Linked DNA regions of Drosophila melanogaster. The protein of the gene in region 2 interacts with the protein of the main gene of each other region in a pairwise test. Each region holds a gene or a part of one and is shown on either strand. Other genes may lie near its edges. The genes, in order: CG5968, SelR and CG11899.

Region 1 (8,363 bases), on a different chromosome or scaffold from region 2:
TTTATTGCGCATACGACGCGTGGCCCGGTCTTATCTTAGATGCGGCCCAATGATAAATTCGCTGCACGCTCATCACGCCCCATTCACATGACATGACGTTTGACTAATGACAGGCCACCGCCCCCACAGCTCGCCATTATACCATTTGTGGAAAACTTTAAATGCTTAACTTTAAGCTAAGCAAAAAAAAAGCGTGGAAAATAAGATAAAGTGGAACACAAAGGAGCGAAGCCAGTAAAAAAGGAGCAGCTATGTAGGCAAGACATAATAACATAGATAAAAGGTTGACAACTTGCTAACAAATGAAATGCAAACATGTTGCAGCGGTCCTCGAACACAACGATGATGATGACTTTGGGAGGGAAAACGAGAAGGAGGATGAAGGAGCCGCACAAAGGGAAAATTTATATGAACGGTAGCCTAAGCTGCTCAACTGATAAGACTGCCATGGAAAACTTATTAGCCAACGAGTAAATACACTTTTTGGATTATAAGTATATAGACTGCAAAAGAATAAGTTGCACTTAAAATATATTCCATTATAAATTTATGTTAATTTCTATCGCAACTTATCTGTATCTGTAAATTAATACGTATAACCATTATTTTAAGGGTAGATATCAAAACGCAAAACTCGAAAAGCTGTAAGCGCCACTTAGCCTATATTTTCCTGAATGGGTGGGCGTCACAGAAAGGAAATCCTGATAAAAAATACTTTTTCGGTAGCTAAATGAACTCAGAAATACTCTCTCAAGTCACATTAAAAAACTCAATTAAATTAAACTTATAAAAATATAGTACTCAAATGAATTGAAGCTAAAACACTTCAGTTTTTATTACCATTTGAGCTATTTGAACAATAAACAACAAATTTGAACAACAATAAAAGCGTATTTATTTATATTTATCTTTCTTTTATCAATCTCTCATCAAACATGTACATATCACTCTCGGCTAAATGGCTTTACAACCTTAATCGAAACTCCCCGTAGGTTGTAAAACAAATGTAGAAAGCGGCTTGCAGACAGGCAAACTGTGAAAGGAGCTTAAGGATTTAAGCCAAGACATGGAATGGAAACGGCGGGAGTCCGGAAAAGTCGTTCGAAAGGAGGCAAAACGAAGGCGGCTCAAATGCGGTGTGAGTAATTAAGACGCAAGTGCGTAAAAGTTGCCCGCATGAAAATGACGCAAACGATCAGCGTCAGACGAGAAAATTTGTGACAGTGGAACAACCCCCACGAAAGTAAGCAAAAGAAATGGCTTCAATTAATTGAGTTGGGGAAAAATTGAAGAGAATACAATTGCTGTTTAAAGTGGCATACTTTTGGGCATCGCCAAGCGAGTGTAGGAGCCCACTTAATGCTGGTTAAGCTAGAAAAGAGGCTTATGCCCAATCAAAATGTCTTAAACAGTACAGTATATGTTGTTGATATTTAGACTGCTCCAGCCGGGCTTGGCTTTAATTCTTGTGAATTAACCATATGCAAATCACATTTCGCAACAGCTGTCTGTCGTCTGCTTTGCTGTGGAAAACAAGTCAATTAAAATTGCCAATCTATGGGTATAAAATTTCCAATTGGCCAAGAAGGCACGTCCCAGACATAAAACAAAATTACAAAGCCCACAAAACAAGGATGGCACACACACACACATGGACAATAAACAAATTGCAATTAGTTGATATATGAGATACCAGATACGTACGTACGTATGTACGACTATGTATCTGGCACATACATAGGTGGAGCAGGTCACAGTTTATTGCCCGTATTCAGGGAGCTGCAAAATGCAACTCATATTTTACCAAGGCCAAAAATGTCTCGCTGCCTGCTCATAAAACATTTTACTTGGAAAAACCCAAACTGACACTGATGCTGACACTTTCACACAACTCATCTGTACCCCCCCCCCCAGTTCCCCAACCACCATGCCCCACCATTGTGCATATAATTTGTCACTTGCATGGTCTTCATACACAGAGAACATGATCTGCAGACAGACCACCAGAGAACACGAGGCACGCAAAGAAATTTCATGGAGCTCATTGAAACAATTACCGTTAAAGCTGGCATCACTAAACAAGACATACATAATACAAAAAGTTGAAAAAAAAATTCTTTTGATATGTCTGAAATGCCTATTCGATTAAACAGTTTGTCAAATGTAAGCGTTTATAAATTTTTTATTAAGTTTTAAATCAATTTTTAAATATATATAACATTTATATCCAGACATGCTACTGGGCCTTAGTTTTAAAGATTATTAAGTTATGTTAATATGAAAATATGCTAAATTCGTTCGATATAATTAGGCTTCGCCAGTATTTTTCTTTTTTTTTGGTGGTGTAAGTTCACAATGAGGAAAAATAAGGGTTGGGGTTGCCGGGCAGGTCATCCTTTCGAATAAAACACAGCAAGTATAACTGTCAGGCTGCAGAGGCTGCCGTTTATCACACATGTACACACACTACTCGCATGTACACTCACCTATGGGTCGCACTGTGTGCTTATAGGTTGACTCTGCATAAATGTCAAAGAAGATGCGAATGTGTGTGTGTGTGTGTTTGCCCGTTTGGTATAGAAGATTTCAGTTCAATTAAGCGTATTTGGCTAACAAATTAAACTTGAAGCAATTCAGTGAGTCAAGAGAAACCATTGACATAAAGGCAATGGGTTTTCAAATCGACATATATATGTCAAATTTTTAGTATTGATGTTTTTTTAGTTTTCAGGTTATCTATTTCATACGTATTTTATTTAAAGTGCTTTACCTAAACCTTAATAAATGCTTGCATTCTATCCATTCTGAGCCGTAAATATGCCTGAATTTCCTGTCCAATAAAATCCGTTGCAGCATTGTTCACAATTCAGCTTTTCTCATTTGCCATAAATAATAAGTGAAAAGCGTGTCATTCTAAACACGCCTTCTGCTTTCACCTACCGACTTCATAAAATACCTCGTTCGTGTTTTATGGCTGTGCACAGTGACAAGTGTTAAAATAACATTTGTACTGCATTTTAAATGGCATTTTGAGAAAAGAATTTCCGTGCGCAAGTGTGTTGCCATTTTGAAATTCTTTTATTTCTAGTGTGCAAAACGTTGGGGCAAAACAATCAACAAACGAATTTCCTGGTAGTCCGGTGTTTGTATTTCATTTTTGGGCTAGAGTCAAAAGGCTACATTTAACCGAGGAAAACATCAAACATTTTAAATAAATGTTCGCTCTGGGCGGAGAGCTGTTGTCCCTGATTTTTCAACGCTTCTATTTTTAGGTCTATACGAAACGGAAATCAAATAGAATTTAACCCACCTACAAAAACCATTCCTGCATACACACACAGATACATTTACGGCAAACAGACAAAGAAAAAACAGAAATCATAGCATACTTTAATGTGCTTTAGGGCCAGCAAAGTGAAGGGCAAAAAATGTATAAGAACTTATTGTAAATCACCGGATTGTTGAATTTTTATTTACATTGAAATTTACGTTTTAATTAATATGCAAACATGCACATAAAATTTGCGTTGGAAATATTCGTTATTGATTTTAAGATCCTATTGTTCTTTTTCCATGAATCGTTTATTTTATTATTAAAATAGAACGTAAAGAAGGAGCTCATACAACAATATTGAACAATTATTAATTTTATTGGCTTCTTTTCGGTCTTTTTCAGTTTCTGAGCGTACATTTTCCCATTTAAAAGTTATTTAATTACTTTACATTGGAAACATTTTAATATTTTAATGTTTAATTCAATTTAAAATGAATATTTCTGTATAAAATTGCCAAATAATATCACAAATTTTTCTTAAGCCTTTAAAGTTAAGATGTACAAATACTTAAAAAAGAGTACAATATATATATGTACGTAAAAGAGCATCGGAGAAACGATATATTTCTAGCTGTCACATTCGTTTTAACCATTTTTTTTATTGACTTTCAAACGTTCGGTTCAGTGGCAGCCATATGGCAAACTCTGACACTTTTTGATTAAATTACCGTTGACTGTCAATATCAAGAGTAAACGGCACTGCTTTCCAACTGTCCTTGGCAGCACTGGAACTGGCGTAGTTTTTGTACTTAATAGGCATTAATAACATTTTAACTTTGTTTAGTGCTTTTTGTTCGCCTTTTCATCGATTTCGCCATTGCCTGAAGTTGAAGATGACTGAGCATTGACATCTTTGTTAGTCAGTTGACTTTGACAGCTGTTGAGGCTTTAATTGCCACTATAAAAATGATTGATAACGAAAACTTTGGCGTGCGTATAAACATCCTTTATTGTTTTCTTTGCATTCGCTTTTTTGTGCCGTTTTTTTTTTTTCTTTTTTGCACAACCCAGTTTAATTAAACCTCCATATGGTATATATTCTGGGCTCGATTACCAAAGTGTGGGCGGTCAGGGATTCTATATTTAGACCACGCTGATTAGAAACAGCAGTGGCGAAAAACGTCAGCAGAAAGGCGTCCCTGATGTAAATATCAGAAGCCAATATTGGAGAACAGAGAGCGGCAAAGTTTGCTCAATTCTTTTACCACTCCTGTTGTTGTGAGTCGGGGATTATTGATAGATATGGCTAAATCCGCTTATATTGGCCAGCTTCTGCAAGGCTGATAGATAAGCGCTTGACGTCGGCCAGTCTACGTAAGTCTTGTTACCAACTGGATGGCGGTCCAAACTTGGCCAAGGATTCAAATGCCAGCGAACAGAGTACAATCAAGGTACAGGTATTTTTCTATCAATATGTACTATTCTCTTTTAATTAATAGATTTCTTTAAAATAATTGTGTTATTTAAAAGTGTAGGATTTTGTAATATTTAAATTAAAGCATGCTGAGAACTTGGTTGTCACTGAAATCTGACTAACAGCTGGCCAGTTGTATTTTGTGTTTTGCACGTAACTCTCAGTTCTTAGAACCGATTTTAGTGATAGCACACGTTTATACAGAATTACACAAATATCGAAAAAAATGCCCAACTTTAATGGGGCTATTATAGTGCACACACTTCAGTTGTTGAAAGCGCCGGCGACACTGCGAGAAATAGTGGTAACCATAGCCAAAAATACGGAATTATCGCAAGATGAGCTTAAAGAGCCTGTGAAACAAACCCTTGAAATGGGCCATCGCTTGGGATTCCTGCAGAAACTCGACGGTGAGATACTTAAACTTATTTTTATACCACACCTTAAAAAAAGGTAAATTCAAAAGGTCGCTACTTTTTGATGAATGTGACCTTCGAGACATTGATGTCTGAGATGGAGGCCCTTGACAAAGAAGAATCTCCGGAGAAGTCACTTAAAAAGAAAAAGAAATTAATACCCAAGACTCCTTTATCGTCGGTCGCTGAGAAAAAAATTAATAAGAAGCCAAGTCAAGTCAAGACAACGGAACAGTTGGTAAAGTCAAAACCAACTGAAAAGGGCCGACTGCAGGACATTCCTAGTTCATCCACAAACATAAGAAAAACGCCATCCAAGCTGATTAAGCGAACAGTTTTTAAGTAAGCCACGCAAAAGGATATTCGAACTTGTCAAAAAAAAAAAAAAAAAAAAAAAAACATCCAAGAAACCAATGCTACATATATTTGTTACAGGATAAATTTCTTGTCCGTTCTATTATAATATTTGGCCCAAAATAGGAAAAGATATTAAAATCTTATAAAATTTCATTAAAGCGTTTTTAAATCTAAATATTTAAAATAGGTCCATTGGGTATAATCGATTAAAATACGAAATTGCTGTCGGGAATAAGTCCTTACTTTCCGTCTCCTAATTCCCGTGGCCAATGAGAGGGTGCCTTTGAGAAATGGTGGCTCATTTGCGCAAACTGACAAATGTCTCAATTAGCGGAGGACGAATCCTCAAATGCAAGGGCGGTGGGGAGTATACATATATTCGGGAAAGTGGGTGGCAGCGAGGCGCCCGACAATGTCGCGACGCTTCCTATTCAATTTGAAAACCAAATGAAGCGTTGCCTCCGCCAAGGAGCAATTTACTCAGTGCATTGAATTGACCATATGGTTGGACACCCACCGAAGTCACCCACACGCCATCCGCACCACCGCCCCTCGAGGCATTTAGAATGGCCAACCCACCAGTTACAGGATCCCTTAAATTTTCGTAAAAAGCTTTAATGCACTCAAACAAGTTCTACACCATATTGTACTGTAAAAGATTTCAAAAAAGTAACTTTTTTTAAATCACTGTATACTTCATATGGAATATTTTTAGAGATTAAAATATTTATTTCTTTTTTTTTTATTTATTAGAAATCAAGTTCTAAATATACTATTTTATTTTTGTCATTAATTATTGTTGGAAATAAAGATGTATGAATAAAATATTTATTTTAAATAAACTTATGAATTTCGAATGCAAATCCATTTTTTCCGGTGCAATTGTAGGGTTTTTTATATAGTTACTCGCGCTGCTTTGCTTTGACCTTTGCGATGACGTCGGACCGGCGTCGGCTACCTCAAAGAGAGAGCAATGTAAACAGAGAAAGAGAAAGGCAGAGAAAGCAAGAGAGAGAACCAGTGGGGGAGAGAGCCTGGTGAATAAACAGCATGGTGAGAAGCGGTTCCTACGCGAAGAGTGCAACAAATGTTTGGTGGACAACTTCGGGCCAACAAGGTAAATGTTAAGGCATACACGATGGCTGAGTGGGTGAGCTTGTCGTTGGGTGGTTTTAGCGGGCGGTGGGTTAGTTGGGCGGGCTGCTTAGTGGGGTGGTTGCTTTTCGGCCCGTGACGCGTGGGCAGCGACAAAAGCGGGTGAAGCTATGTCTTGCCCTTTTTTTCGGCATACTGGCATACATAGCACGGCGAATTATTTGTGTGTGCCGATGTGCGGATATACAAATGTGTGCCTTTATAAGTGTGCTTTTATCAGGGTGCGTCAATCTAAGCCAAGTTCTGAATTTACGAAAGTCTTGAAATGCCAAGTATATTCTTATAAAGGTTTAAGCGCTAAAAGGAAATCAACAGTCCGCAAAAATAGCTGATCTTAATATTTCTTCTATTAAAAAAAAAGCACTTAATTTTAGTTCAGATCTTTACTTAGTTTAAGTCCTATATGCATGAACAAGTTTAATCAATATTGAAGTTTTTTATATTTAGCTTCGAACAAATTGCTCCACCCTAATGCTCCTGTATCCTTGTTCGCGATGAGCGTATACCCAGACAACGAAATGTCACAGCAGCCTACTTATGCTTTTTTCGCATCGCGTTTTATCCCCAAATGTGTGTGCGATTTTTGGTTCAGCTTTTTGGCATATGGTCGCCGTGCCGGAAAAGTGGGAAACCGGTAAGGGGGCTGCTTTCCCATTTGCAGTTTGGCTGAAAAGCTGTTTCGCTTATTTCCCTCTTTTTTAGTCAACCGTTTCTAGATAAATATTTTGCAACACCGCATCGCATTTCCATGATTAGCAGATAAACATATGCCAAGTTGCAAACTTGGCGTGTGTGTTCGGAGTGTAGAAGTTTAGAGAATCCCTGGGTAGTGGGCGGTTATACACGCGACTTTAATTGAGCTTTCAAGAGGACTAAGTTAAACATACAAATGTTTGCTTAGGATGCAACAGCTGTTGGCTGTGAGTTAAAAATTGTTCGAAAAAAACCTCTTTGGAGAAGTGGAATATCTTAAAATATTTAAATTTAAAATTTGATTTAAAACAATAAATGACGTAAGGTTTTTAAATTATAGTATAAAAATACTAGATTAATCGAAAATTAATGAAGTTTTGTATACCGCATTGAAACTGTGTATCTAAAGCTTTTAACTATTTAATGCCCAAAATTGCCTAATAGCGGTTCAGTTTAAAATAAAAAAAAATTTAATTACCCGTTATTATCACAAAATATATTCCTCACTAACTAAAATCCTTTTATCTTTAACCCCACACCCATTGTCATTCCATTTGGTTGGAATGTAACGCCTGCCCTTAATTCAATTAACTTTAATGAACCAAATTATAATTGCAAATAAATTATCTTATTAAAGACGCAGAAAGTTCGCACTCTTGCCTTTTAGTAGCACTAAAACTCTGAAAACGGCGTCAAGGCCAATTAGAAAACTTTGTCCAAACATCTCACTACCAAGAAGGACGAAACTGAAACTTATCTTTTGGATCAGCAAGAGCCCATTTTCACCCAAAAAAACCCCGTGTGTCTGGGCGACAATCTAGCATATGCCAAAGTAAAAAGCTCACCAAAGTCAAACTCGATTAAAAATGCATAAATGCAATTAAACGCAAATGGAAATCGAACCAAACTCGCAAAAGCTTCAAGCGAAAACGCCTCGAGGTGGAAAAGCCAAAGAGATACACTTTCCAAGAATTCCACTTTTTTCACAGACATT
Region 2 (12,792 bases):
CGCACCCTGATTCTTGAATGTTGTATTGAAAATAACGACGTTCATGATCTTGTTTAATTTGACATATTATTAAGTTTGTAGTGGCCATATAATGTACATGGTACACTCTGATTAGATTCGCGGCGTAGGATTAAATATCTTCATTTTTTGAAACTATAACTATAAAAAAACATATACATTTTAATAAAGTGTAAAACAATATAATATCAACGATGTTTCAACAGCTTGGGAAATATTTCTTAAAAGTAATAATGTTTCAGAATACAAGCCAATTATTATTTTATTAAACAAACTTTAAATATGTATAACAATTTTATTTGATAAATGAACACTTTTTCATCATTAGAGTATGTTGTTAATTCGCCTCCTGAATTGCTTTTGGTTTCTTCGAAATTGACCATATATATTGCAATATAACAGCAATAGAATAGACTATTCCAATAACTATAAAATAGAATGCGTAGACGGAAAACTGTTGAAAAACATTCAAATTCAGATTGGCCTTTTCCGAGACGACGACAAATGTGAGGATGCACTGCAGGAGGAGTCCCACGAACGTGTTGAAACCAAACACCAGAGCGAAGCTATCCTCCTCCAAGCTGCTGGCCAACTCCGAGCTATAAGGTATTACGAGATTTGGTAAATTTCACCTGTTGGAAAAGGATCAAGAACTGCTTACCTGGCCACTGTTATGGTGAAGGCAAACAGGCCTCCATACAGCACATAGCCAAGATAGGACAGATATATATCATCGGTCCAGCAGGAAAGCAAAACACAACCTCCTTCCAGGACCGACAGCAGAGCCATCGAGAGCAGGCTGCTCCTGGTGTTCAGACGTCCAGCATGGAAATAACCGGCGAGAAGGGCGAACACAGCGCTTAGAAGCGTCAGGGCCACGTCCACAGCTCCATTCCAGGCTATCTTCAGGGGAAATCTCAAGGATGAGAAAGCCATTGATTATTGAAACTCACTCACTGTTGGTTCGTTCTCGAAGGACTTCCATACCACCTGCATATAGGTGGTGATTTGCAGAAATCCAGCCAAACTGATGGCATACCACAAGCTCCATTGTATCACCAAGGGATTAGTGTAGGCACTACGGAAGTGGGACCAAAGGAGCTGCAACGCTGGTATCTTCTTTTCTTGGCTCGCTTCCTCGTTACTGGGTTGCTCTGAACCCTTCTCCAGGTTACCACCATCCGATTTGGTTCCACCTTCTATGGCCTCGCTTCGATTGTGAAAGTACAAACTCTTCTCCACCTTTGGCAAAAAGAATGCCCAGAGCAGCGCAGCAACTTGAGCTGTGGGAAAGTGGGAACATTGGTTAACTGGCTATTGAATCACTTTGCTAACTGGTAACCAACAGGTGACGGTGATGTAAAACAGTTGCTTGTAGTTCATCCACCTCATTCCAATGACCATCTGAGCCAGGATTCCCGCAACTAGCTTGCCCACGAACATGGCTGCCCTGGTGTGCGAGGTCACCCTGGGATAGTACTGTTTGTCCACCTTGGCGTAGATGTACGAGTAGTAGGCCACCTCGCCCGCCTGGTAGAAGCCATAGAAAACCTCCACCGCCTGCAGGCCGCTCAAAGTGGTCGTCCAAATCAGTGTGCCCCAGATGCAGATGCCTGTAGTGGCATTGGCGATGATCACGGGCTTGTATCTGCAACGCAAACGGAGGGTTATTGCTGGCCAATAAAGATTGCATTCATGCATGGGCTGTATACCTGAGCAGGTCCGTAATGAGGAAGACGAAGATTAGGAGCGCCAGGTAGGAGTATGTGCCCACCGGGTAAACGGATCGGTTGACCTCGTCCTGGGTGACGTGATACCACTCGCCCATCAGGATTTCCGCGTGGTATGGCTCCGAGGGTCGAAGTTCCCGGAGAAACCCGAATATGCATAGCAGGCACGATATCTTCAGCCACGACTCCATCCCGTTACGGCTGTCGGCTTGAATCTAATCGCGATCTTAACGCCAACCAGCGATCCCACCGACTATATGTACATACATATAGATATATGTCTGGCAGCGTGTAGCTTCGACCAGCTATTATAATAATTGCACATTCTTCCAAGGGGTTAGCAGGCTAGTGCCGAGTATAGAGATTTACCTTCGACGCTTGTAATCAGCGCTGGCCCATTCGCGATTTACGATCCAAGTGTTCTCCGATTTGGTGCAGGCCAGCGGAGCAGTGAGGTAATGGAATATCCGGGAAGTTTCCGCTTACAGCGAGCAGCATGGTCACGATCGCGATTAACTTGCTCTCGCCTGATGCGGTTCCCACTCCAAGTTGGCCATACCAGCCATTAGCAGCTAATTAGCCCATTAGCAGGGCACTTAAATGGATCTATCTTGCACTGAATTTCTCAGAGAGCCTTACACACTTGTTTATTAATGTTTCTGTAATCTATTAATGCAAAATATCAACACTGATAAGTTAATAATCAGCGATAGCCGCTTTAAAAGTGCAAAAGAAATTGTTCCGGGTAATAGTATCAACAAAATAATTGAAATCTATAACGATTGTTGTCATATTCGGATCTAGACTACATGATTAATAATATGTATTTAAACTTAAACGCTTGCTTTTTACTTCGATTACTTTGCTCTATAAATTAAACGTAATAATCGTAAGATAATATTAATAAAACACACAATTATTCTATACTAAAACTCGGTATCTTTATTCCTGCACACTTGAGACTGATTACACGCGCTCTATAAATGGAAATTTCTACTAAATACTAAGAATCGCCAACAGATTGGTAATAAAAAGATGACCTAAATATTCTGGGAATACAATCGACCATCGCACGAATACCATATTATGGTAGTTCACGCACAGGAACCAGTCTTTCTTTAAGTAACGTGTTGTGTTTTCACCTTAAGTACTATCTAAATGCCTCGGAACTCAATCCAGTGAATTTTCCAGCTTTTCGACGTCGTTGTTGCGGCACATTAAGTACTCAATCAGCACGGATATCAGATACAAGACGCCGACGCCAATAAAATAGAATGCATACGCCGTGTACTGGCCAACGGGATCGAGCTCAAAACCAGTGTCCGTGACAAAGATTATGGTTAACAGTGACTGGAAAATGAGGGCCACAAAGGTGTTCACACCAAAGACAAGGCCGAAGCTTTCCTCCTCCAGATTTCTGGCCACTTCAGCACTGCCAAAAAAATTAAAATTCATCTATATATGGAGTGCCTATGAATATCATAAGACTTACCTCGCCACCGTGATGGTAAAGCCGTAGAGGGCGCCGAAGAGCACAAAGCCCGCATACGACCAGTAGATGTCCTGTGTCCAGCAACAGATCAGCACACATCCGCCCTCCACGGCGGACAGAATGCCCAGGATCAGAAGAGATGCTCGCGGTCTGAGCCTTCCGGTGTGCAGATAACCAGCGGCCAAAGCACTTAGAGCAGCCAGAGCTGTCAGGACAGCATCAACGGCGCCGTTCCACGCAATAACAGGCTCCGGTTCGATCACTTTCCACAGAACCTGAACGTAGTAAGTGACCTGCAGGTAACCAGCCAGTCCAATGGCGTACCACAGACTCCACTGAACGACTCGCGGATTGGTGTATGCATTCCGAAAATGTAGCCAAAGAAGGCTCAGTGCTCCTGGCTGCTTCTGAGTATTCTCCTGCTGCTGATCCATCTCAGCCAGGTTTCCCACCCCGGGTAGCTGAGTCTGCGGCTCCGTAATGGACAACTGCTCCCGATGAAAGTAAAGACTCCTATCCACGCGGGGCAGGCCAAAGGCCCAAAGCATGGCTATAATCTGAGCTGTAGAATATATGTGCATGATTAATGCCCCAAGTTGTAGGTCATTTATTGTACGTACTGCCCAGCGTTATATAGTTAAGCTCCTTGTAGTTCATCAGCTCCAGATTGAGCATAAGTTGGGAAGTGATGCCGGAAACCAGTTTGCCTGCAAACATGGCTGCTCGGGTGTGGGAGGTCACTCTGGCATAGTATTTCTTGTCCACTTTGGCATAGATGTACGTATAGTAGGCCACCTCTGCGGCCATGTAAGTGCCGAAGAAGAACTCCAGGATCTGAAGCGACAGCAAGCTGGTGGTCCAGATGAGCATGCTCCATATTATCACACCCGCAGCTCCAATTGTGATGATCAGCGGCTTGTATCTGAAACATAATACATATAGTTATTATAAAATGAAGCCTGTTTCCGTTCGAACAGCTTTTAATTGCAAAGCTATCAAATCGAATTCAATTTGCTGAATCACAATAAATTTTTGGCTAGCGAAGGCAAAAGTTTGACTTTGGAGTAGGTCACCTTCTGGTTACAAATAAAATGACTGGTTTCGTATTTGATTACGAACAATTTTTGTTATAAAATATAAATATCAAATTGGCTGATAGCAACTCAGTCCCACGTTTAATTTAAGAAAATACATTTTATCCTTAATTTAAAAGATAAATAATTTTCAGCGAATAGTTACCTGAGAAAATCTGTTATGAGAAATACAAAGACCAACTGCACCAGGTAGGAATAGGTTCCCACTGGGTAAACATCGTGCGTTAGCTGGAATGGGAAGAAATTTGATATTCTATGGAATGGATAGATGGTGGGAGATGCCACTCACCTGCTGCTCCGTGATATTCCGCCAGGGACCCAGCAGGTACTCCGTGACGTAGGGCTCCGACGGACGGATCTCGCGGATGCAGCCAAAGACACAGAGGAGGCAGGAGATCTTCAGCCACTCCTTCATTTTCGAAATTTCGTAACGGTCACTGACGTAACGTGCGCTACGCAACGAGATTCAGCGGCGCAAGCTCTTACGTGAAACACTGAAGTGGGATGCCGTTAGCTGGGCCTTTCTGCATCTGGACAGGTGAAGCTCAATATATTGCCTAGATTCACGGGCAATCTGGTGTATCAGGCCATGGTCGTCGTCGCCGGGTGCTCAAATCTAATCTCTTCGCGACGCGAATCCGAAATTATCACTTCGACGTGCCCGAATTGTATTTACACTGAAATCGCTGTTAGATAATTGCGAATTTACAATGCGGTTTGAAAGTCACAAGCAAACAATCGCATGTGGAACGCACAGGTGGGTGGTCCAGTTTAAAAGTTCTCCAGTCACCCTACACACGTGTCGCACTTCAAAATCAAACGATCGCATACTCGGCCCATTCGCTGTTATCGATTTGTCGCCAGCACATCACTTCGGGCTAATAAACATTTAAATTCACCTTATACGGCGACTGCAATTAAAATCAATTGACTTCCGAGCCATAAATAAATTCGATTTCATGTTGTTGCGTCGCCGGTCGTTACGTCACGTCAACAACAACTGCGGCGCAGCATCTGTTTTGCGCAAACAAGGGAAGGCAACTGACGTAGTTGGCAACGCGGCTCAGCTGTTCCGTTCTCACCTGGTCGGCACTAACAACTACGTTCAAATTAATAGTGACAACTGCAAAAACACAACACATGCAAGCACCGTTTTATTGTAAAAAACACACGTTTATTTAGCGCGCTCACTTTAAAATTAGTACTGTGTTGAATGTGTGGGGTTACAGAGTATTCGGTATTTGGGTTTGTATAAATTAACGAACAAATTTCGAACCAAAACATTAGCTATTTACACAAACAGAGGGGCGATTGACTTGACTACGAGCTAAAATTGGCCACATTTGCGGAAAGTTAGAAAGTACACGTAGAAAAATTTCTTAACAGCAACGACACTCTGAGGCTTGCCTCCTCCGTTTGGCGGTTGATCCTCGGCATCACTGCTGGGCAATGGGCGCCGCGGTGGGCGTGGCCACGGGCGGGGACGAGGTGGCGGGATCCGCGTTCACGAACTCAATGGAGGCGGAATTGATGCAGTAGCGCTTGCGGGTCGGCTTCGGACCATCCTCGAAGACGTGACCCATGTGGGCGTTGCAGCGGGCGCAGCGGACCTCAGTGCGTATACGTTCTGGATGTGCGATTAGTAGTAAAATATTGCCCCCTATTTAGTTTGTATTTTGCCATTTCGTGGGATTAATTGGATACGTTTTGATTGTTGTTTTTTTTTTTTGTTGTGTAGCGCATTTTGTTGACATTTTTTACAATATATTCATTTTTTTGATCGTTTTGCAAGGTTAATTCAAAGTTTTTCGGTGTAAACAAATCAAACAGAAATAGAAAATTGATTGTGAAATGGGTGATAAATGTGAAGCAGAGAAAGAATCACAGAAAAGAGCGAAGAAATAACGGCAAATAAATGGGAGTGCAAATCAGAGAGCGAAGGAGGAGATGCAGCAGAGAGAGAGAGAGAGAGAGCGATAATTAACAATGGGTGGCAGGTGAAACAATATGAAATGAAGTCACATAAACCGGTGAAAATAATTGACGAATCAGGAATATAGATGATTTTCCGAACGATTTGGCGTACATGTTATTTTGGTTAATTAAGCATTTCATGTGTCGTTTTTTCGGGTGTTATAATTTCAGCGATGAGTTAAATGTTTTCGTGTTTTTGGTTAGCAAAACAAACCCCCAAAAAACGTTTACAGGCGTTGTACATTTAGTTTTTTTTTTGTTTTTGAAGCGAGTTAAAAAAAGAGAAATAGAAAATATACGAAAATACACATTATTTGGATTGTTTAAAACACTCTATATAGTTTATGGATATAATGTTGGTTAAAGTATTCGGGTTATGTTATTGAAATCAAAAGAAAATTGAGCGTGAGTAAAAAGCAACAAACTAAAACGTAAATCGAAATCATACAAATAACCAAATACAGCACCGGAAAATAATATTTTAAAATAAAAGCACCACATTCACACAGACATACACATAATGGCCCTGGCCCAAAAATAAATCCAATCGACCTTGTATAATGATCGAAATATGGTATGTGGAAAAAGCTCAATGATCTATGTAGATTCAAAACCGAAATATGTATGAAAATTGCACTTAACCGAAAAGAAAAACATATAAACTAACTAAAGGAACCCTCGTCTTATCCCAAAATAAATGATAACCTTGCGCAAAACTTAACTTCTTGCTAAGCACGTAAGTTCCTACAAAATGGGTTAATTTTTATTAACGTACAATATACATATCCTATAGATACGATGAGAATGCAAGGGGAGATACTTTTGAGAAGTAGAGTTCATCTACACAGTGAGTGAGATTGTAAACCGAAAAGAGTGCATAAACCCAGGCCAGGAACTGTAGACTCGCATTTCCGTTCATAAAACTTTCGTAAACTTTATAAAGTTATAATATAGAGATAGAGATTTGAAACCGAAACATACATAGGGTAAAAGTAGGAAAAGTATATAGCAAATGGAATCTGCTGGGCTGAACTACAATACTAAACTCTCACTCCTCGTTCCGCAATACATTTTCAAACATCGTTCTTGTGTATAAGCTATGTTTTTTTTTGTTCGTTAAACAGTTTTGCATAATAAACGCCTATAAAATAGCTAAATATCTTTCTTTGCTGGACCTGCAGCCCTCTATAGACCCGGAGTAGCATCTACCGCTGGTCTATATGGGGCTACTCCTCCGGGTGTAATGGTATTCCTTGTGGTTAGCAGGCAGATCGGTCATTATTTCTTGGACGAGGCCGTCGATGGATCCGCCTTCGATGGCGTCGCACTCTTCACGAAATCGATGGACGCGGAATTGATGCAGAAGCGTCGATGCTTGGGCGGCGGTCCATCATCGAAGACGTGGCCCATATGGGCGGAGCATCGGGAGCAGCGCACCTCGGTGCGCACCATGCCTAGCGTTTTCGAAATGACTACTGTTGGTTTAATCGGTTTACAAGTGATACTCGTGGGTGATATTCGGGTGGAATCGATATGGCATTAGTTGTATTTCATGTGGTTTTTTTTTAGAAAGAAAGAAATGTTGAGAAAGTCAGGCGGGATAGAAGAGTGGGATAAGAGAACACAATACTCGGTTAGGAATCAATTTTAGTCGCTTCTTCTCGCTTTGTTGCACATTCAGGTGCTGCAACGGCAGCAGGAACACTCACTAGTCACAAATCACCGGCACAAGACTAAACACAGTAACACAACAATGGCAAGGCCAACGGCACAACTACAGTGAACTCTGGGCAGTGGAACAGTTTTGGGGTCGGGTTCAAGATCAGATTTTAAACACGAAACAAAGCAACAAACAAGGCAACACAAACAGCACAGACTTTAAATGAATAATATTAGCTAATGGGTTTATAAGGTTTAATTAAGCCATTAACTAATAAGCCTCTTCTTATAAACATCTCACTTTATGATTTTATTTCTTTACAATGACTTATGCACACCATTTTCTTTAGAAATGGAAAACAATCAAGCTGAAGGTCATACCAAAATATGAAATATACATATGTATATGTTTATATGCTTATATAACTCTACAATTAATCGTTATCAAGGCTTCTTTATAAACTTGGTAATCTTATGATTGCTCTTATTCACACATGACAACTAGGCGAATAATTACTCTAGTCTGGGTTATATTGTCTCCTAGGTGGATAAACGCAAATGAAATTCTCAACTCTTGGGTGCGGCAACGGAACAGCAACTCAAATAAAAACATAACTCAAAACGCTTTGCAATAATCAACAGCTAAAAGTGCCGAGCAAGGTCTTGGCCAAAAGTGGGCCGCCTGGCCAATACGCACCTGGTATGCTGGCATCGCGGTGCAGCGTGACCTTGCCCTTGTCTAGGACATCGTTGAAGGCCGGCCATCCGCATCCCGAGTCGTACTTGGTCTCCGAGCTGAACAGATCCTGGTGGCACACGATGCACTGGTACACGCCCTTCTCGTAGTGTTTGTTGTAGCAACCTGTGGACATTGCATTCCATCATTTGGGAATCAGAATTGAATGCACTTTGTTCGAGGGGTGGCGTTCCATCTTGATAATGGCTTATGGCTGCATGTTTTGTTAGGAGAGACTCACCTGTGAAGGGTCGCTCGGTGCCCGCCTCCTGGGTAACCTGATACTGCACCGGGGTCAGGCGCTTGCGCAGCTCCTCCTTGTTCACCGTAACCTTCTCGCTCTTGTTATCCATAGTCGCTGCTGGTCCGGAATACCTTTTGTCCGGATTGTCGCTGTCTTGGCGTGAATCTGGAATGCAATACAATACTTTGGTATTTGATTTGCGGTCGGGTCGGTTTGAGTGTGCTTTTCGGTTCGCCAGCAGTTGGGTAATGGAAACTGAGTAGGGGATTTCGTCAAGCTTCTGTAAGATTTCCCTCATAATCTGCCCACTTATCGGTGGGACTTTCAACGAAACCTTGGGCAATCTCAACTCGCTTATTTGAATGCGGCCATCTGACGATAAGAAGCTTACTACTATCAGCCATGAGTTGCTGAAAATACTTTCTCGAAACTCATAATCATCTTGTTTTCTCATACAAACGATACCATACCATTTATGAAAATGAATTATATGAAGAAAATTTTTGGCATTTTTGGAACCCAATTTGATAAGGAAATATATACATAAATATTCTTATTCCAATATTAAACAAAAGCTATATATAGCGTACAAAATATAGAAAATACTTATCATTTTCTTAAACAATTTGTTAACAATCTTGAAAACTCAAAATCAAAGTTGTGCATCCAGGGAATTAGTAACACCAATTTTGTATACAAACTTGCCTGCTAATTAATGAAGGTGTAAACAGATTTGTTAAGTGCGGCCAACAAATGGAGTGGAGAAACGCATTGGGCCAAAAATAGTTTTATGGCTTTTTATGCTGCTTGCCCGCCGTCAATCAAACGGAGTGGCGCCCAAAGCAAACGAAGGCGAAGGAAAAGCCGAAAAAAAAACCGAAAATCGAATAGCGTAGGTGGAGCAGTCACCTTTTATTTTCGGTTTTTCCGAGTGCAACAATAGAAAAGCCAGCCAAGTGTGTCGCGGGCAATTGAAGACAATGAATTCATTGCGAGCAAAGTCAGAAAATAGCGGCTAAATTGCGTTCATATAGAATGCAAATGTATAAAAAAATCAACTCAAATTGTGTCTAAAATTAGCCGATGGCCAATCGATGAGCATGGGCTGACACGCCCACAGGTATTACAAACTATACCTGCGACTTTTTAGTGCAACTCACCTGCGAAAAAGCGTGGAATGGCGAATATTCGAGTGCGCCGCAGTGCGTGGCGAGCAGAAAGTGCAAACATTATGTGGCTAATTTCAGGTGACAACTGCACTTGGCACTGCCTGGTTATTTAATCAGCACAGCAACAGGGGGAAAATGAGCAGAGCAAGGAGGAAAAGTCAATGTTTTGTCCACTGCGCACTGCCCACGCGTACTAACTAATATTTATGCAATTCGCGTTGCCACTTCCGTCTACCACATTTCCCACATTTTCCGTTCTATTTTCGTGCGCTTTTCTGCTTTTGAACGCTTGGCGAGGAGAAAGCGCAGTGCAGAGAAAGTCGCAACTCAATTAGGGAAAATGCGCTCGCAATTGTGCTTCAATGTCACCAGCGGAGAACCGAAAAGAAAAAACACTTAATTTTCCCACACTTAAATGGTGCGTCCTTGGGTTTTCTCTAAGCTGGAAAACTACTCACCTGCTGAATAGCGCTCTAAATGGTGCTGATTCTATTTTTGGCCTTTTGTTTATGAATGCGCCAAACGCGGGCGAAAACAAGCGTGCGTCGCAATGTTACGCAGCGGTGGAAAATTAAAAACTAATACAAAAAAAGCTGCTTGGGAAAACAGCTGCACGCGATGAAAATCAAACACCTGGCTGGCTCGCGTTGCCAATCGAATGCTGGATGATAGGCAACAAAGGCAGTACGGTCACGCGAACAGCTGACTGGCCGCGCTGCCAACTGCTGCCTAATTGGACAGCACGTCTGGCAACGCCGGGCACTTTGTTATTTTTAGTGGCTCCATAAATTTGCTTATCAGTCATAAAATTTAAGCTAGTGCGTTAATTCATCATATTCGCTGCGGGGAAACACCAGAGTTAGACAGTCCACCACTGACGCACTGCGAAACTATAGCAAAACAGCCGTGCAGGCCGCTGAAGAGACCACACGCAAAGAGGGCGTCAACAAAAAGAAAAAACCGTGGGGGAGGAAACCTGGGCAAAAATACCAGGAAAAGTAATACTCATCGAAATACTCGGCTGAAAACACGACTTGCACATTCGCGTGGCCATGAGCAATCACAGATACCATCAGGGGGGCAACTACATGCACCCGCGGATCTCCACCTATCCGCACCACTTCAGCTACGTTTCCTCTTGCGTCAAGTACATGATCTTCCTGCTAAACTTCCTCTTCTGGCTCTTCGGCGGCCTGCTCCTGGCCATCGGCGTGTACGCCTTCATGGACAAACTGATGGACGGCAATGGCTGGCTGCGCTTGGACACCATCTACGATGTGATCTTCAACATCTCCCTGGTGATGATCATCGCCGGAGTCATCGTCTTCACGGTCAGCTTCGCCGGCTGTTTGGGTGCGCTGCGCGAGAACACCTGGCTGCTAAAGCTGTACTCCATGTGCCTGCTTCTCTTCTTCATACTGGAGATGTCGCTGGCCATCATCTGCTTCGTTTTCCCGCAGTACATGAACTCGTTCCTCGAGTACCAGTTCACGGACAAAATCATCCACTCGTACCGTGACGACTCCGACTTGCAAAACTTCATCGACTTTGCCCAGCAGGAGTTTAACTGCTGCGGCCTGAGCAACGCCGGCTACCAGGATTGGAGTGAGTATTTGATTCATAAGCCACAAACGAATTAATTCCATGTCCGTATGCATACAGGCAAGAACGAGTACTTCAACTGCTCATCGCCGTCGGTGGAGAGATGTGGAGTGCCCTACAGCTGCTGTATTAATGCCACCGATATCAGCTCCGGCCTAGTGAACATCATGTGTGGCTATGGCGTGCAGGTGCGTTCAGTGGCCGCCGCCAGCAAGCGCATCTGGACCAGCGGCTGCATCGAGATCGTGCGAGTATGGGTCGAGAGGAATCTGTATGTGATTGCCGGCGTTGCCCTGGGCATAGCCTTGCTGCAGTTGTTCGTCATCTATTTGGCCAAGACCCTGGAGGGACAGATCGACCTGCAGAAGTCGCGCTGGTCGTGAGTGCAATGCCACCATCCGTATCTCTACGGATATCCGCCATGCGAAGACGACCCGTATTACAATTCGCGGATGTGAGGCGGACTTTTTTGGTCCTGCCCGTGCTCAAATAATTTCAAACCGAATCCCACTCCTAGAATAATCCATAGCTCCCTATATACCATCTCTTGTGTTTTCGATAGATTTAAGTTCTAATGTCCCGCGATAATAGTATTTCAATAGTATTCTCATACTCTCCTAGGCTTAGGAAAAAGTATTTATACTCCTTTGTGTTCGTTTGCTCTGTATGTTTTTTAAACGTCAGCGCATTCTTAGTCACAAGTAAAGTCGAACACATCTAAAGTTTTACTCTTATACGTATGCAATATCAGACTATTTAAAAGACACTTGTGTATAAGCTAGCGAGTTCCATAAGAAATATGCATTTAAAATGAGATTTATATGTAACGACGAAACCAAAACTGCATGCATGTTTGTTAAATTGAAAAACATACTAGATACATAGACTTATTATCATTTTTAAGTATCTGTACGCGTGTTTGTCTGCAAACGTTGTTGTAGTGCGTATTTAAATACAGGCATTCTATACGTGTAATCGTGACTTTTTCATATGGTGAAAACAGCACAAAGTACCTGTCTTATCGCTCCACTTGGTTATTCCAATCTTGTTCTTACGATTGACCTTTAATCTACA
Region 3 (8,962 bases), about 18 Mb from region 2:
ATGCTTAAAGTTAAAGAACTGACTTAATTATTCCATTTGTATTCCAACTGACAGCAGCTGTTGCAATTATCCCCCTTGCCAAAAACTAAAGTGAAAATGAGGTGGTGGAAAACCATATTCCACGAAGGAATGGCGTTGGCGGATCCCAGAAAGGAAACCGCCGACTGAAGCTGTGAAATGCGAAACGCAGCGGTATCAAAGGGGGAAAAGCGAACTGCCAGAAAAAAATCACAACTGAGAAATCAGAAAAAGGAAAAACCCAACCGGAGCCAACTCAATTCAGCGAAATCAACGCCAACGGCGGCTGCCTGTCAATTAAAACATTAAAACGCGCTGAAAAATGCAGCGAACAGGCGCAAAGTAAACAAACTGCGGAACATGTTGCAGTGCGGACAGCATTTTCCAACATTTTCCAACATTTTCAGCGATTAGAAGCATAGAATTTCGCAATGGAGCACTTAGAGCAGCACCAGAGTTTCGGGCCCAGACCACCAAACCGAGCAAAGAAATCCGATTCGTCGACCAGGGGAGGGACTAATGTGTGACCCAGTTTGGATCACTGTGCAGGAAAGGAACTCTGTGTGTTTTGGCCATTTGCTTTTTGATCATTAAAAACTGGTTGGCCGCCGCCAGCTGAGCGCCCCACTACATTTGCGGTCAGCTTAATAGCACCGCTGCGGCCATAAATTAGTCAAAGAAAATCTATTGGGATGGCAGCTGGCATCTGTCAATGATTTATTCTTGACACATCATTCCGTGTTAGTTCTTTTAAGAATTAAAAACCAAATAAAATAATAGTAATGATTTACGGTTGGGTCTTAGTGCAATTGTTTAGTAAATAAAGTTATCAAAGGCTATTAATTACTATTTATCATAACAGTTGATCAACAGCAAAGAGTTCTGGAAGAAAAGCGTGGAATATTCGTTTATATTTTTGCATATTTTTGAATATTTTTTTAAACAGTACAAATAACTTTTTAGAAAAAGTTTTATCGTAGTCAAGAAAAAGATGATTTAGCGCACTGACTTCTCCAATAGCTGGCTTTCTTGGATAGCTAAACGCTCCTATTCAAACACCCCCGACTGTGGCTATCTGTCCACTTGAACCGCCCGCCCATGTCTTCGGCGGCAGCGTCGCTTGTGGCATTGCCGCTTGGGTTTATAAGCGGCCGGCGATGGCGGCGGCGAGCCGAGTTTCAGCGTCAGATTAGCCGAGAGCGCGCGCGTTTTTTCCCACGATCAGGAAAATCGAATTCCAGAGCCATGAAGGATCGATTCAAGTGGTTGTCGCTGGAGCTGCTCCTGCTGATAGGCGCCGCAGTCGCCTTTCCGGACGGCGCTCCGGCGGACACGTGCGTGAAGCAGCGGGCGAATCAGCCGAATCATGGCAAGGCCCGGAGTCAGCCGGCTCACTCGAATCCGTACGAGGTGGTGGCCGATGCGCAGACCTACCATCCCGGCCAGCAGATATCGGTGGTCATCTACCCGCACTCGGACCAGAGCACCGTCTTCCGGGGATTCTTCCTGCAGGCGCGTGATGCCAACTCGAACGAGTGGATCGGCGAGTGGGTGCAGAGCGAGAACACCAAGACCATTCCAGAGTGCTCGGCCATTACGCACTCGGACAACCGGGACAAGCTGGGCGCCAAGCTCATCTGGAAGGCACCGCAAAATAAGCGGGGACAAGTCTACTTCACGTAAGTTGGAAGTTATAGGAGGAGTGGGTTAATTATATAGCTCAAGCCAATGGAATTATTAGAAAGATCTAGAATCTATAATCGAACTAACTTTCAGTGTTAAGTAGTGCTCTTACAGTCACAGCAAACAACTTAAATGCATGCAGAAGTTTCACTACCAACTTAATAAAATAAATGACCGCTTAGCACCCATTTTTTCGGACAGTTTCAATGAAGCACTTTGTCAAAACTGGCTTCGTACAACGCAGTTCGTGTCTTCTATGGCCCATCACCCTCATAATAATCATCATTATCATCGGAGGCGACGGTGGAAGTAGCATAAGCCGTGGCAACATCATTGTGCCTCGTGAAGGGATTCATTAATCATACGCCACGTTGACCCACATAATGTAATGCGCGCATAATTGTCAGGCGGACAAAAACTTGCCGGATAATCGCACAAAAGGCATTATGTAATTGATTTATTTGGAAAGAGCACACCCCTCATCAATGGTCCACAAAAAAAGGCATCAAACGGCAAAGACGCCGCACAGTGACAAGCTCAAAAAAGCCAAAGAAAAGCTGTCAATGCTTTTTATGCAACTTTGTCAACTTTGTCGGCAGATAACACTGGCCAACATAGACAAGTGCCAACTGTGAATTAACCACACAAAACTTATTTTCCGGACACTTGTCTCATTTGTCATTCTACCAAAACCAAAATATGCAAATATGGGTATTAATCACAAACAGACAAGCAAAGTTTATGGACACATCTTGCACAAGATCTGAAATCAATCATCATAGTACACTAAGGGAATTAATGCACAGAATTATAAGCTATAAAATGTATTATTTTCTCCATAACCATTTGATTTGAAAGTACTGTAGTCCAGTGTCGTCTCACCTTAAAAATCATCTGCTAATATTGCCTAATCATTGTCTACTAACTATTTATAGACTTCCTTGCGAATAAATTAGAAAAAATCATGACTTGCGAGCAACCATAAGAATTAACATTTTCACTTTTCGCTGCAGGGGCACTGTGCTACAGGAGTACGGAACGTTTTGGAGCGACATTGTGAACAAAGTGCAGGCGGAGCGGCCATAACTGAAATTATGTACTTACTTTTAAGGCAGCCGGGCAATAAATCTTAAAAACCCTAATTAGTCAAAACGAAATTGTTGTTTGAGGATTTTTTTTCGACTGCCATTCACCATTCCGACGTCTTGGACGTCGGACGCCAAAGGCGCCCCATTGAGCTGTGCAATCAACATTACAGGGCAAAATTATTGGCTTTTTGGCTCAGCGCTTATGAATGACCAGCCCACATCCCAGCGCCCAACGAGGCGAACCAGTTCCCGTCGCCCACCACAGACAGCACCTTGCCACCCACATCCGCCCACATCCTCCCACCCACTCCACTCCAAGTCCGAAATGGAACGCACGAGCCGAGCACGTTTGGGTTTCCAGACACGTTGGCCAGCTTCTCATAGGAAATTCGTTTTGGGCGCCCCGGCAAATTGGAAACTCTAAGCACCTTTCAGGCTGGCTGTGCTATAAAGTAATTAGACGGCCAACGAATTTGACCAAGACATAGGCCAAGATAAGTATTCGTAGCATAGGTCTAAAGCACTTCTGATTGATTGCCCTTACAACAATAGGAAGCGGATAAGGATAAGGAATCGGTTTGCAGATATGACCAGGCGTGCAAAAGAGTTCGCGGAATTGCTAATCGGCAGACGGTTTGTTTTGCTTGAAATTTACTACCAATTATGGTAGCCAACTTACTTAAGCCTTAGTTAAATATATAATGCCTAATATTGGTTATACTCTACAGATAATTCAATAAAAAGCTATGAAATCATAAACTCACTGTCGCATGCATCGAAGCTCCACTGTACATTGCACTTACACATTTCGCTTGCAGCTTGTTTACTCGCCTGCGAACTCAGTCGCTCGCTTGTTATTGTCATTCCAGCGAAAAGTGCATGGCAACCCACGCTGGCTTGGGGGCGGGGCACACACACGATGAAGTGGGGGGGTTACTGGGAAGCACTTTGTTTTCGTGCGTTGCACATATGTACATATGTATGTATGTACGTACATATGTAATTATATACGTTAGCCGACTTGTTTTGATCGAATTCGCCGTACCGCCGCCTGCCTTTGTCTGGCTTTATGGACTCCACAGGAGCGCAGCCCAAAATGGGGGGCTTGGAGTCGAACACCCTCCCGGTGGAGAATCCGTCCCTGGAGCAACCGAGTTCGTTGTCCAGTCGGGCGAATTTGAGTCTGGTTTTCCGCACGCGTTTTGTTTACTGTCCGGTGACTTGTTGCTGTTCTCTGTGCCCGCCTTCGTCTCGTTTATCAGCGATTGCGAATACTCGCACGGACTGCTCAACACTTTAGTCAATATTTAGCCGCTTCCCGGAGAGGTTCATAGATCGCAGACGCACTACATAGTATCAGCATGGTTATCAACTTCGCCGCCGGTCCAGCCAAGTTGCCCGAAGAGGTCGGTGAAATGGGTGGCACCACTCCACACACGTGACGTGTAATAGTAACCTTGATTACATGGTTATCTCTATCTGCATATATAGGTACTGAAAGAGGTGCAGGAAAATCTTGTCAACTGCAATGGCAGCGGCATCTCGGTCATGGAGATGTCCCATCGCTCCAGCAACTATGCCAAGATCCATGATGCGACCATCAGCGATCTTCGCGAACTCCTCAATGTGCCCAGTAACTACAAGATTCTGCTGATGCAGGGCGGTGGCACCGGACAGTTCGCTGCAGTGGCTCTGAACTTGATTGGCAAGACTGGCACTGCTGATTATGTAATCACCGGCTCCTGGTCGGCCAAGGCGGCCAAGGAGGCGGCTCAGTACGGCACTGTGAACGCGGTGCTGCCCAAGTTGGCAAAGTATACAACTGTTCCACGACAGGAGACCTGGAAGCTGGACCCAAATGCCTCATATGTCTACTACTGCGACAATGAGACCGTAGAGGGCGTGGAGTTCGACTTTGTGCCCGAGGTTCCAGCCGGTGTGCCACTGGTGGCCGATATGTCCTCCAATTTTCTGTCGCGTCCCTTCGATGTCTCCAAGTTTGGCGTTATCTATGCGGGAGCCCAGAAGAATATCGGACCAGCGGGCACCACGGTGATCATTGTCAGGGACGATTTGATAGGCAAGCACTTGAAGATTACGCCCTCCATCCTCAACTTTGAGCAGATGGACAAGAACAACTCCCTGTTAAATACTCCGCCGACCTTTGGGTGAGCCCAGAATGATACATGGCTGGTGAATTCTTTGTTAAACTTTCCCCTTGCAGCATCTATGTGATGGGCCTGGTTTTCAAGTGGATCAAGCGGAACGGAGGAGTCGCTGGTATGGCCAAGCTGGCGGCAGCCAAGTCCAAGTTGATTTACGACACGATCAACCAGTCGAATGGTTTCTACTACTGCCCAGTGGATGTCAATGTGCGTTCGCGCATGAATGTGCCCTTCCGTATTGGCAGTGCCAGTGGAGATGATGCCCTGGAGAAGGAGTTCCTGAGCAAAGCCGAGGCCGAGGGCATGATTCAGTTGAAGGGTCATCGGTCGGTGGGCGGCATTCGAGCCTCCCTCTACAATGCTGTAACGCTGGCGGAGACCCAACAGTTGGCCAATCTGATGCTGGCCTTTTACAAGAACAATAAAAATTGAACAGGTTCATCTGTAATTTGTTGGTTTTTGATCGTTTACAAAAGGCCGCGTTGGCGGAAGATCTCGTCCAGCTTGAGCTCCAGGTTGGCGTTGGTTCCTCGCAGATTGTCCACCACCTTTTTGGCCCAAACGAAGTACTGATCACGACGCTCCTGGAATGAAAATATGTGATCCATAAGGTTCCGTTTTTCAAACCAAGATGGGCCCAAATACCTGTGTCCACCCTGTCGGTGTGTTGACTTGCAGATCCCTTAGGTTATCCAATTTGTCAGCCAGCTTTATGAGCTTTGCTCTGCAGCTGCTTTTGGCTGCATTTTCTATTTGCAGGCGTTTTCTCTCCTGTTTCTCCAGGGACTTGTCGTCCGTCACCTCCCTCACTAGTCCACAAACATCCGGTCCAAAGAGTTTCTCAACATCCTCGAAAGATGCGTCCGTATCCTCCACGACATCGTGCAGAAGTGCAGCCATTAGGACTCCCTCATCTGTGATGCAGGCCTCCACGGAGAGAATAGTGCTCACATTGATCACATGGTTCACATAGGGGGTTTCCTGAGGATCCTTGAAATGTAAAAAAGATAGTATTCATGTTTTAAATATATCATTTGTTGCGTTTTAATAAGCTTACCTTGCGACGTTGCTGCCGGTGCTTAAAAGCTGCATATTGGAGGCACTCCATGAATTTGGCAGATGGATATGTGGCCATTGTTGTAAGAAATAATTAAATGAACGGGCCTTTAGTTCAAATTTAAAGTCTAAACCTTATTTTTTGCATTTATTTACATTTTTAACATAACAGCTGACTTAACAGACCGGCAAGAATCTATAACAGAGCAATTGTTGGTGCTTTACAGCGCGGATGGTTAGGCCCTGGAAAACCTATCGATAAATAAAAAGCGCGGCATTCATTTAAATTCAAAAACCTTTATTTAAACAGTTCACCAAACTTAGTCCTTCTTCTCGTTCTGGTTCTCGCACTTGTTGCACTCCTGCTCCTTGGCCTTGCGCGCTGCTTTGGCGGCCTCCTCCGCCTCTCTTTTGGCCTGGGCCTCCAGTTCGGGAATGAAGAAGATCTTGCGAGACTTGAGCGTTGACCACTTAAAACGCTTGATGTAGTAGGAAATGCCAATCAAAAAGGTCGAAATCAGAGTAACTTTGATGAGCAGCAGGCGACGTTCGTCGGTCTCCGGTTCTGAAGTCCACTTGAGGAAGACGCACACATCCTTGGCAATTTGGGCGGCCGAAGCAGGCACATTTGGATCTTCAAAGGAGACCACCTCATTGTCAACTACCTTGCCCATGGCAATCGCTCCGCCCGAGAAGTACGGATTGAAGTACAGTCCATCACGAAGGGCAAAACCAGCCGGAGGATCACAGTATCCGGTGAGCAGGGAGAACACGTAATCCTCGCCGCCCTTGCGAGCCGACACAATATAGCTGAGATCCGGCGGATAGGAGCCATTGTTGGCGGAACGGGCCGCCTCCTCGTTGGCGTACGGAGAGGGGAAGTGATCGGACAGCTTGCCGGGACGCTCGTAGTACTCGCCCTCCTCGTTGGGCCCATCCCGCACCGTGATGGCCTCCGCCTCGGCCTTGGCCTCCGCCTCCGTCATGCACACTCCCACCAGGTTGCGATAGGCCATGTACTGCAATGAGTGGCAGGAGGAGCAGACCTCCTTGTAAACGGTGTAACCTCGACGCACGCTCTCCTTGTCCAAGGCGGACAAAAGCCCTTTGTGATTCCAGTGCTGGTGGGCCGGATGCACGCAGTCCGAGGAGGCATCCACGCTGGTTTCCAGGGCGTAGATCAGCAGCCCTGCTGTTCCGGTTAGGGCTCCCAGGGCTCCCAGCAGCTTGCGATTTCCAGTAAAGCCGCTTCCACGACCCGGAAAACTTATCCGCGGACGCACCGATGTCCGCTGGATGCCGCTCATGGCCAGCTGGAAAAGTTTGCTGTTCAGACTCCTGAATTTGTTGGCCATTTTCGGTCGGATTCAGCTTTATCTCTCAAAACGATTTATTTACAATGTCAACGCAACCAGTGTTGGAAAGCTCTGTCGACTGGGGTTGTCACCACTTGGGGAAATATGTTCTGTCGAAATGAAATCACGTGTGTTGCGGTAAGTTAATATTTTAATTATTATATATTAATTTAAATATAACACCATCACATGCAAAATTACGGATCAAGTGAATGGCTTAAATGCAGTAATAACAATATACATTATCAATTGAAAGATTAACACTTAGGAATCTATCTTTACTGTACTCACCTATGGCAAAATATTAGACTTCCTCCTTTGATGGCAAAAAATCGTCATTGCGAAGAAAATATGTAATTGTTTGGAAATATTGAAATGTGTAAAAGTATAAGCTTTTTCACAACAATTTTTTAATGACATTTCACACAAAGCCGGCAAGAGCAACCTTTACCTACTAATTAAGATACATATCGATCGAAATGCACTTAAAAGCTCTGCTAAACTATTTGGAAAACATCTAAGCCCCTCTCCCTTGTGTAAGCAGTATTAAAAAAGTTAGTTTCTGGAACTACAGAGAAGGCAGGATGCTTAGAAATCCCAGCACAGACTTTCTTCCACATCAAGCCCAGCTTAGCCAGATTCTTATCGGTGATCTTTCTCCATAAAGCATATGTAAACCAAAACCCACCCAAAGTGCTGTTATTCTTCACAGCTAAAAGGTTGAATCAACGTTTTTCTCTATTGTTGTAACGATCGCCTCCTTCTGGGTTTCTTTCCTGTCCAACCAGCGGAGCAACTTAAAAATACAAAAAAAAAAGCAAATGCCAGGGCACTTTCATTTGTTATCTGGCTCAGTAATCTGTAAATCGGTAACAGCCCACCAAACAACGGTGCATACAATATTTCCTAGCCATTCTTCACACTGTGTGACCACGAAATCGTCAAAGTCAGGCCCAAGCCAGCTTTTACAACAGCCAAGGAGTAGGGGCGTCGGCTTACCGCAATTTTAGGGGGGCTCAGAATGTGGGCAAGGTAGTAATGAAGCAACCAATAATTGTCATAAAGCTGCTTTACTACCCTTCAAATTAATCAGAACCCACTAAACTCCATTACAATGCTTGGATTGTAAGCTTAGAGGTGATAGTTCCATAAAGGGGAACCCCCTTTTCGACGCCTATGGCAACCAATAATGACAATGCACTGTCGACGTCGACAGAGCGATGTAAACTCTATTTTTTTTTTTTTGTTTTTGGTGAAAATTTGTACCTGATTTTATATTTCCCTTTTTTGTTACACTCTTTTTGTAGCTGTTGGTCTGGTTTTCTTGTTTTTTTTTTTTTCAGTTATTACGTATTTCCATGTTTACCATATTTTACACGCGCTTACAGGCACACAGATACAGATACTTCCACGGATACAGATGCAGATACATTTACCCCCGGATTTTCCCTATGTGCGTTTTTAGAGTTCTGCTTCTGCGCAGCGATGCATAATTCCCACTTTTGAAATTTGTGTGCGGTTGTTGTTGTTGTTGTTGTTTTCCTCTGCGGTGGTGGCTAAATGTTGTTGTTGTTGTTGTTCCCGTTGCCGCTGCGCA

Evidence for each region.
Region 1: the proteins of SelR (region 2) and CG5968 interact in a two-hybrid assay, tested with the Drosophila melanogaster proteins (one large-scale study listed by BioGRID).
Region 3: the proteins of SelR (region 2) and CG11899 interact in a two-hybrid assay, tested with the Drosophila melanogaster proteins (one large-scale study listed by BioGRID).

Annotation. Positions count from the first base shown.
Region 1 is NT_033779.5:16,546,498-16,554,860, reverse strand, and holds CG5968 (uncharacterized protein), read left to right. Parts: upstream 1-4,901; 5' UTR 4,902-4,974; coding exon 4,975-5,158; intron 5,159-5,214; coding exon 5,215-5,510; 3' UTR 5,511-5,680; downstream 5,681-8,363.
Region 2 is NT_033777.3:10,857,865-10,870,656, forward strand, and holds SelR (selenoprotein R), read right to left. Parts: upstream 10,427-12,792; 5' UTR 10,178-10,426; coding exon 10,108-10,177; intron 9,113-10,107; coding exon 8,945-9,112; intron 8,830-8,944; coding exon 8,665-8,829; intron 7,784-8,664; coding exon of another isoform or gene 7,587-7,783; exon of another isoform or gene 6,023-7,586; intron 5,995-6,022; coding exon 5,771-5,994; 3' UTR 5,491-5,770; downstream 1-5,490. Other genes in the region: CG14694 (uncharacterized protein), read right to left, coding at 356-617, 680-921, 976-1,301, 1,365-1,666, 1,731-1,939; CG6574 (uncharacterized protein), read right to left, coding at 2,919-3,180, 3,241-3,802, 3,861-4,162, 4,480-4,562, 4,624-4,749; Tsp86D (tetraspanin 86D), read left to right, coding at 11,169-11,721, 11,779-12,101. UniProt on the Drosophila melanogaster protein: Methionine-sulfoxide reductase that specifically reduces methionine (R)-sulfoxide back to methionine.
Region 3 is NT_033777.3:29,196,371-29,205,332, forward strand, and holds CG11899 (uncharacterized protein), read left to right. Parts: upstream 1-4,083; 5' UTR 4,084-4,150; coding exon 4,151-4,195; intron 4,196-4,280; coding exon 4,281-4,957; intron 4,958-5,013; coding exon 5,014-5,386; 3' UTR 5,387-5,400; downstream 5,401-8,962. Other genes in the region: CG14515 (uncharacterized protein), read left to right, coding at 1,264-1,697, 2,715-2,787; Mesh1 (metazoan SpoT homolog-1), read right to left, coding at 5,422-5,538, 5,600-5,944, 6,012-6,089; Cyt-c1L (cytochrome c1-like), read right to left, coding at 6,331-7,365. UniProt on the Drosophila melanogaster protein: Catalyzes the reversible conversion of 3-phosphohydroxypyruvate to phosphoserine and of 3-hydroxy-2-oxo-4-phosphonooxybutanoate to phosphohydroxythreonine.